Sus scrofa: one gene and its partner. The protein of the gene in region 1 interacts with the protein of each later gene in a biochemical or structural test. Links are inferred from orthologs where the notes say so. Each region holds a gene or a part of one and is shown on either strand. Other genes may lie near its edges.

Evidence for each region.
Region 2: the proteins of FOS (region 1) and RUNX2 form a complex in vitro, tested with the Homo sapiens proteins (2 studies listed by BioGRID). The link is inferred for Sus scrofa from reciprocal best matches to the Homo sapiens genes FOS and RUNX2.

Annotation. Positions count from the first base shown.
Region 1 is NC_010449.5:98,448,434-98,452,181, forward strand, and holds FOS (proto-oncogene c-Fos), read left to right. Parts: upstream 1-1,074; coding exon 1,075-1,215; intron 1,216-1,973; coding exon 1,974-2,225; intron 2,226-2,665; coding exon 2,666-2,773; intron 2,774-2,896; coding exon 2,897-3,538; downstream 3,539-3,748. UniProt on the Homo sapiens protein: Nuclear phosphoprotein which forms a tight but non-covalently linked complex with the JUN/AP-1 transcription factor. In the heterodimer, FOS and JUN/AP-1 basic regions each seems to interact with symmetrical DNA half sites.
Region 2 is NC_010449.5:40,204,041-40,207,688, reverse strand, and holds part of RUNX2 (runt-related transcription factor 2), read right to left. Parts: intron 1,762-3,648; coding exon 1,400-1,761; intron 1-1,399. UniProt on the Homo sapiens protein: Transcription factor involved in osteoblastic differentiation and skeletal morphogenesis. Essential for the maturation of osteoblasts and both intramembranous and endochondral ossification.

The sequences.
Region 1 (3,748 bases):
CATTTTTGCATGGAGGTTCTGCACAATGTTTATTGGCTGGTGTCTCTGGGGTTTGACAGTAACTCTAACATCCCGTATTTGGCCGAGGAAAAAAATGCTCCTTTTCCCTTAAAAAAAAATTAATATTAAAATACCCAGCATCGTAGATAAAGTAGGTTATCGTATTCTCTTATTTTGTATCCCTCTACTTTCCGCTTCCAAACGCAGTAACAGTCCTAGTAGTGCTGAGCGCTGGGGCTTGAGGCGAGGGGGTGGGGGTCTGCTTCCACAGTTTGCACCGAATTAGTGATAGAATGAGGAATGGGGGTGGAGGCGCATTCCTTCGGGGGCCAAGGCTTAAGCCCAAGGGGCTGTGTACCTATCTCGCCTATACCTGAACCTCAGAACTCTTCCCGGGTTTCTGTACACAAGTAAAAAGGCGCCTACGCCCCATCCCCCAACCCCGGGAACAAGGGTCCGCATTGAACCAGGTGCGAATGTTCGCTCGCCTTCTCTGCCTTTCCCGCCTCCCCTCCCCCCGGCCACGGCCCCCGCCTCCCCCCCGCGCTGCACCCTTGGTGTTGGCTGCAGCCCGCGAGCAGTTCCCGTCAATCCCTCCCTCCCGTTTACACAGGATGTCCATATTAGGACATCTGCGTCAGCAGGTTTCCACGGCCGTTCCCTGAAGTTGTGGGGGGAGCCATCCCCGAAGTCCCTCATTTTAGGGGGTCTACGCGACCCCAAGACCGAGACTGAGAAAAGCTCAGAAGATAAAGAAACACAATAAGACGAAAGGCAGGGGGCTGAGACGGCGGAAGAGGCAGCAAAGAGGCTGCAGAGGTGGCAAGATCCGAGCGCCACCCCTCGAGAGCTGCAATGGTAGCGCTCCGTGACGTATTGGGCTCATTCATAAAATGCTGTTATAAAAGCAGTGGCCTAGTACTCCAACCGCATCTGCAGCGAGCAGCTAAGCTGAGACAGAACCGGCAGCGGCGCAGCGAGCGAGCAGCGACCGCGCTCTTACCCAGCTCAGCCCCGCAGCTCCTACCTGTCTCCGCCCCTCAGCCCCTCGCCCGGCTTTGACTACCTGCGATCATGATGTTCTCCGGCTTCAACGCCGACTACGAGGCGTCATCATCCCGCTGCAGCAGCGCCTCCCCTGCCGGGGACAGTCTCTCCTACTACCACTCACCGGCCGACTCCTTCTCCAGCATGGGCTCTCCCGTCAATGCGCAGGTAAGGCTGGCTTCGTGCCACCGCGGGGCTCGGGGCTCGGGGTTACCGGGGAGGAGACACTGGGACGGGACGCTCAGGAAGACAAGCCGGGGACCCCATTGGCCAGAGAGGGAGGCTTGCCCCGGCCGGATCAGCCCTATCTCGGGAGCCCCGGACTTGTTCGGAGCGCACACATGCTTGTCAAAATAAGAATCTTTTCTCCTCTCCCGCTGTGGGCTCATTCTGAGCTGACCCTGGCCCACGCGCTCTGACTGGTCTCTGACATTAGCTGGGGGCAAAAGTGTCCCAAGCAAAGACTGGCTAACTAGAGCCGGGCACCTCCGGGGGAGGAGGCAAAAAGCGGCGATCCTCCCTCCCCTCGCAGCCTGGAGCAGGGAGGAGGGTGAGAGGAGGAGGGTGAAGCCGGCGGGTGTGTAAGGCAGTTTCATTGATAAAAAGCGAGTTCATTCAGGAGACTCCGGAGCGGCGTCTGCGTCAGCGCAGACGTCAGGGATATTTATAACAACCCCCCTTTCAAGCGAGTGATGCTGAAGGGATAACGGGAACGCAGCAGCAGGATGGAGGAGAAAGGCACTGCGCTGCGGAATTCTTGGGAAGGGAGAGACCTTTCATCCAGGATGAAGGACATATAAAAATACATAAGCAGTCCATTTTTCACTCTCTCCCTGCTGCATGCGGCACTGGGCACTCCGCTCACCCCACCTGCGTCCAGAGCCTGGTCGCTCACGTCAGCTTTCCCCTTCTATATTTCATTCTAGGACTTCTGCACCGATCTGGCCGTCTCCAGTGCCAACTTCATCCCAACGGTGACTGCTATCTCGACCAGCCCAGACCTGCAGTGGCTAGTGCAACCCACCCTGGTCTCCTCGGTTGCCCCATCCCAGACCAGAGCCCCTCACCCCTACGGAGTCCCCACTCCCTCGGCTGGGGCTTACTCCAGGGCTGGAGTCGTGAAGACCATGCCAGGAGGCAGAGCTCAGAGCATTGGCAGAAGGGGCAAGGTGGAACAGGTGAGGGTTCTCAACACCTTCTCTCTGGTGGTGGCTGGGGTTGGGGGGGTAAGGTCAGTCTTGATGGAGATGGGGAGCATAGTGGACAGGGTGAAGCCATGGGTGGAACTGATTACATATCCTGGACTGGGAACCCCGGCTCCAAGCCCTATCCATCCCAAGTCAGACTCTAATAGTCCACCCTAAGTAATATCCAATGTGCAGTTTCTTCCCTAATAGTTTCTTATCTCACCCTTGTAGCTTCTCTTTGTTCTCCTGCTGAGGTTCTTATTTTAAATGCAAGTCACACCCAGCTTGCAACTGCAGGTTAGAAATGGCTTCACAGAAGAGGTGCCAGGAGGCGGGAAGCTGCAGGCGCCAGTTTTCCTAGGGTGGGTGAACGGAGCTGATAGCAGGCACTGTTACTGAATGTTGCCCTCTCTCTCTCTCCCCACCTCCAGTTGTCCCCAGAAGAAGAAGAGAAAAGGAGAATCCGAAGGGAAAGGAATAAGATGGCTGCAGCCAAATGCCGGAACCGGAGGAGGGAGCTGACTGACACACTCCAAGCGGTAGGTAGAATCCATGGATCACTTCTTTCGAAAACTTAAGGGCAAAGTTAGAGACTGGGTAGAAGGGAACAGAGTCTTTGAGTAAGACCGTGTCTTATGCTTTGCTGTATCCTCTGTATCCAGGAGACAGACCAGCTAGAAGACGAGAAGTCTGCTTTGCAGACTGAGATCGCCAACCTGCTGAAGGAGAAGGAAAAACTCGAGTTCATCCTGGCAGCTCACCGACCTGCCTGCAAGATCCCTGATGACCTGGGCTTCCCTGAAGAGATGTCTGTGGCTTCCCTTGATCTGAGTGGGGGCCTGCCTGAGGCTGCCACCCCCGAATCTGAGGAGGCCTTCACCCTGCCCCTCCTCAATGACCCGGAGCCCAAGCCCTCCGTGGAGCCAGTCAAGAACGTCAGCAGCATGGAGCTGAAGGCCGAGCCCTTTGATGACTTCCTGTTCCCAGCATCGTCCAGGCCCGGCGGCTCTGAGACAGCCCGCTCTGTGCCGGACATGGACCTGTCTGGTTCCTTCTATGCAGCAGACTGGGAGCCCCTGCATGGTGGCTCCCTGGGGATGGGGCCCATGGCCACAGAGCTGGAGCCCCTGTGTACCCCGGTGGTCACCTGCACCCCCAGCTGCACTACTTACACGTCTTCCTTCGTCTTTACCTACCCCGAGGCTGACTCCTTCCCCAGCTGTGCGGCTGCCCACCGCAAGGGCAGCAGCAGCAACGAGCCTTCCTCTGACTCGCTCAGCTCACCCACGCTGCTGGCCCTGTGAGCGGGCAGAGAGGGGAGGCAGCAGGCAGGCACGCGCCACTGCCCGAGTCGGTGCATTATGGAGAGGAGAAACACGTCTTCCCTCGAGGGTTCCCGTAGACCTAGGGAGGACCTTATCTGGGCGTGAAACACACCACCAGGCCGTGGGCCTCAAGGACTTGAAAGCATCCACGTGTGGACTCGAGTCCTTACCTCTTCTGGAGATGTAGCA
Region 2 (3,648 bases), about 58 Mb from region 1:
GGCGCCAAGTCCCGCGAGGGAGGACGGCCCGGGACCCCAGTTCCCCAGCAACCCGGGATGCTCGCAGCTCTGGGGGCCGTGCGAGGAGGCGAGGTCTCCCCGGGGGACCCCAAACGCACTCCCCGACGCCCTCAATCTGCCGGAAGAGCCGCAGCCCGCGACTCCAATTGCTGACACTCGCCCTCAAACTAACGGGGCGGGCGGAGGAGGCCGCGGGGCGCGCGGAGGGCGCTTTTCAACCCCGGGGTCACTCCCTCCGCTCCCAAATCACGGGCCCCAGCGCCACAAGACCTTTCAGAAGCAGGAGGGACCTCTGGGGTCCAAGTCCTCAAAAGTGAGAATAAGATGACTCGAATCGCACAGTCACCTCCGCTTTCAAGGCAGGCAAGCTGAAGGCATTTCACAGGTTTCCCTTCTCCCTCCCAGGCGCGGCGAGGCGGGGAGCGGGTCCCCGTGGAAGAGGCCGTCCAGCCCCCGCCCCCTTCCCTGGCCCGCGCCGCCTTGCACTTGAGGGTCTGGCGCCCAGGACTCGCGTACTCCCCGGCCTCTGGGCGCGGGGCGACCCCGGCTGCCTCGCCTTCCTCCCAGTAGCCGGAACAAGCGTGGGGCTGCAGGCGGAGAAAATGCCCCCGACCTGTCTCCCCTCACTCGCTCCCCGGGTACCTAAGTTTGCCCGGGACCCTCTCTGACTTCAGTCCGGCGGCCCACGCGCCGCCGCGGCAGCCGGCACTCGGAGCCCCTCCCCAGGCTCGAACTCCGGCGCCGGCACCCCACGAACACAGGCCCCCGAGCCCGAGAGGGGCCGGAGCCGCAGAGGCTCAAACGGGTGGGAGAAGGGGGCGCCGACACGGGCGGAGGGCGCTCGGTTTGGAGGGGAAAGGGTGGGAGCGCGCGGGATCCGGGGGAGGGGTGGCGCGGCAGCCTGAGGCGCAGGGCGGGCAGGGATGCTGGGGAGAGGGACGCGGGAGTCCGTGGGGAGAACGCTGGCGATACCCTGGAGTGGGGGCGGGGTGGAGCAAGTTCGGGCCGCAGCTCGGAGAGTGGGCACCTGGGGGCTCCTGGGGGAGGTAAGACGGCTCGGAGAAGTGGGTCAGAATGTTGGCCGGCAGGCTCCACGGGTGATGAACGGATAAAGAGAACCAGGGTTGAGGTGATGGCTGCGGGCACAGGTGGGAGAGGGAAGGATCTATCTGCACGGGGTCACTACGCCCGGAGCCCGCTGGCAGATCCGGAGGAAGAGGGCCAGACGGCGTTCCTTCGGGTCCGAGCCACCAAGATAGGAACCTTGGAGGCAGTACGGGTCCGGGCTCGGGCCCCCGCGGGCACGGAAACGCTAGCAGGCAGGTCCCGCGGCTCCGGGCAGGGGGCGGGGGGTGGGGGGGCGGCCGCAGCTTCTTACCTTGAAGGCCACGGGCAGGGTCTTGTTGCAACGCCAGTGCGAGGGCAGCACAGAGCACAGGAAGTTGGGGCTGTCGGTGCGGACGAGTTCGGCCGGGTGGTCAGCGATGATCTCCACCATGGTGCGGTTGTCGTGCGGCGGCCGCAACCGGGGCACGGCGGCTGCCGCTGCCGCCGCCGCCGCCGCCGCCGCCGCCGCTGCCGCTGCCTCCTGCTGCTGCTGTTGCTGCTGTTGCTGCTGCTGCTGCTGCTGCTGTTGTTGCTGCTGCTGCTGTTGCGCAGCCACCACCGGGCTCACGTCGCTCATCTTGCCGGGCTGCAGGCTGCTGGAGGGGGGGCTGAAGCGCCGGCTGGTGCTCGGATCTACGGGAATACGCATCACAACAGCCACAAGTTAGCGAAGTGGCCGGGGGAGGGGGAGGAGGGTGGAATGAGGGGCGAGGAGGAGGAAATTGGGGGGGTGGAGGCGAGACGGGGGAAAGGGGATGGAGGTGATGGGGCTGAGGAGGTGAGAAATCAAGTTCGATGAAGCAGACTGCCGGGCGGAGTCTGACGGGGGCCAGCGGTGGCGGTGCGGAGCAATCGGGTTGGCGGGTGACGAGACCCGGGAGGCGCAGATCTTGCTGGAGCCCTTGAAACACCCGGGGTGGCAGCTGCGAACGGGCACCAGGATGTGTTTGGCTCGGGCAGGCGGGAGACTTCACTTCGCAGCAGCTTGGAGTGGGGTCCCTTGGGGCACCGCGTCCTGGGTGCGCTGGCGCCCCCTCCCAGTTCGAGTCCGGCGGTTGAGCCCAGTGGGTTCAGCAGTCCAACCCAGAGGCCAGCATCGCCGCGCGCTGCCCGCCACCGCCGCGCCGCGCCACGAGCAGCTACGCAGCTGCTGGCGTCCGCGCCGCGCCGCCCGCCCGCCCGCGCCGCTGCTGCCGCCGCCGCTCTGCTGCGGCTGCCGCTCCCCCCGCGCCGGCTGCACACTCAGATTCCTCCCGCGGCGGCTGCCAGCCCGGCTCCCCGGCTCGGCTCCTTCCTTTCCCTTCTCCTCTTCTCGCCCTCTCACCGCTCCCTCCTCGCATCCACTCCCTCCAGCTCTTTGCAAAGCTCCCCTGACCCTCGCGCTTCGAGGCGCCAGGAGGTAAGTCGCGGGCAGCGGATCTCGGGGCAGCGGATCTCGAGCCTGCGAATCTCAGCCGCTGCCGCCGCCCGCCGGCCGCGAGAAGTAGCCCCCGGGACGCGGCGTGCAGCTTCCGAAGCCGAGAGAGGCGGCCCGGGTCTAGGGGGATCTCGCCTGGTCGCGTCCTCTTGCTTCTCACCCCCCTCCCCCCTAGAACCAGGAACCCCCTCTTGGTCGGAGGAGGTTGATGCTGAGACGCCAGAGAGCCTGCCGGCTGATCTGCCTGTCGTTATTTTTCGTTGTAACTTCAGGAGAGGAAGAAGGAAAATTCTTGAGCGTCTGTGCTGACTTCTCAGCACTCTTCACCCTTCCCCCACCCCATCCCCCCCCCACCTCTGCCGGAGCGGCTCCCAAGAGGGGTTAAAAAAAAGATTTTACAGAGTTTGGGTGTTTTTTGTCTTAAGCGACTCAAAAAAATTGGGATGGAGGGGACATTTGTCAAAATCGTTTTTAGAAACTCAAACTGTGGGTAGCCGGACACTTTTTTCTTCTATATTCAAACTTGTTCCTAGAGAACAAGGATGAGTTTCTTTAAGGACTGGAAAACTATCAACTTGATGATTAAAATAAGTTGCTAAAACCCTTGCGGGGAGGGGGGGAACCCCAGCAGTTTTCCATGAATCTCAATCTATTAATAAGTCTATTCTGCATCTAAAACTTGGTCTAATGTCTTAACTTCCCCACCACCACCACCACTCCCAAGGAAAAAAAATTAAAATACGAAATAAAATATTCAAAATGCTTCGATGGCTATTTATTTATGTATTTATTTCCCAGTGTGGGTTTAAAAAGCGACTTTGGATCCCCCCAAAAGTTGTGGTCGAAAGGATGAAGGAGCGCAGAAAAAAGGCGGCAGTTTTACCTAAAATGTGGTTTTTGGAGGCTGGGATTTCTAATGATTAGGTTTTTGTGGTTTATATAGACACGACTCTGGCTAAGGCGATCATTACACTGATGAGAGTCAGAAGCACGTGGGTGTCTCCGACCAGCCTCAAACTCTGAGCCTTCAAAACAAATAAAACAATGTGCGGCGCCCGCAGAAGCCGGGAAATCCGCTTGAGGGTATCGCACCCCTAAGAAGG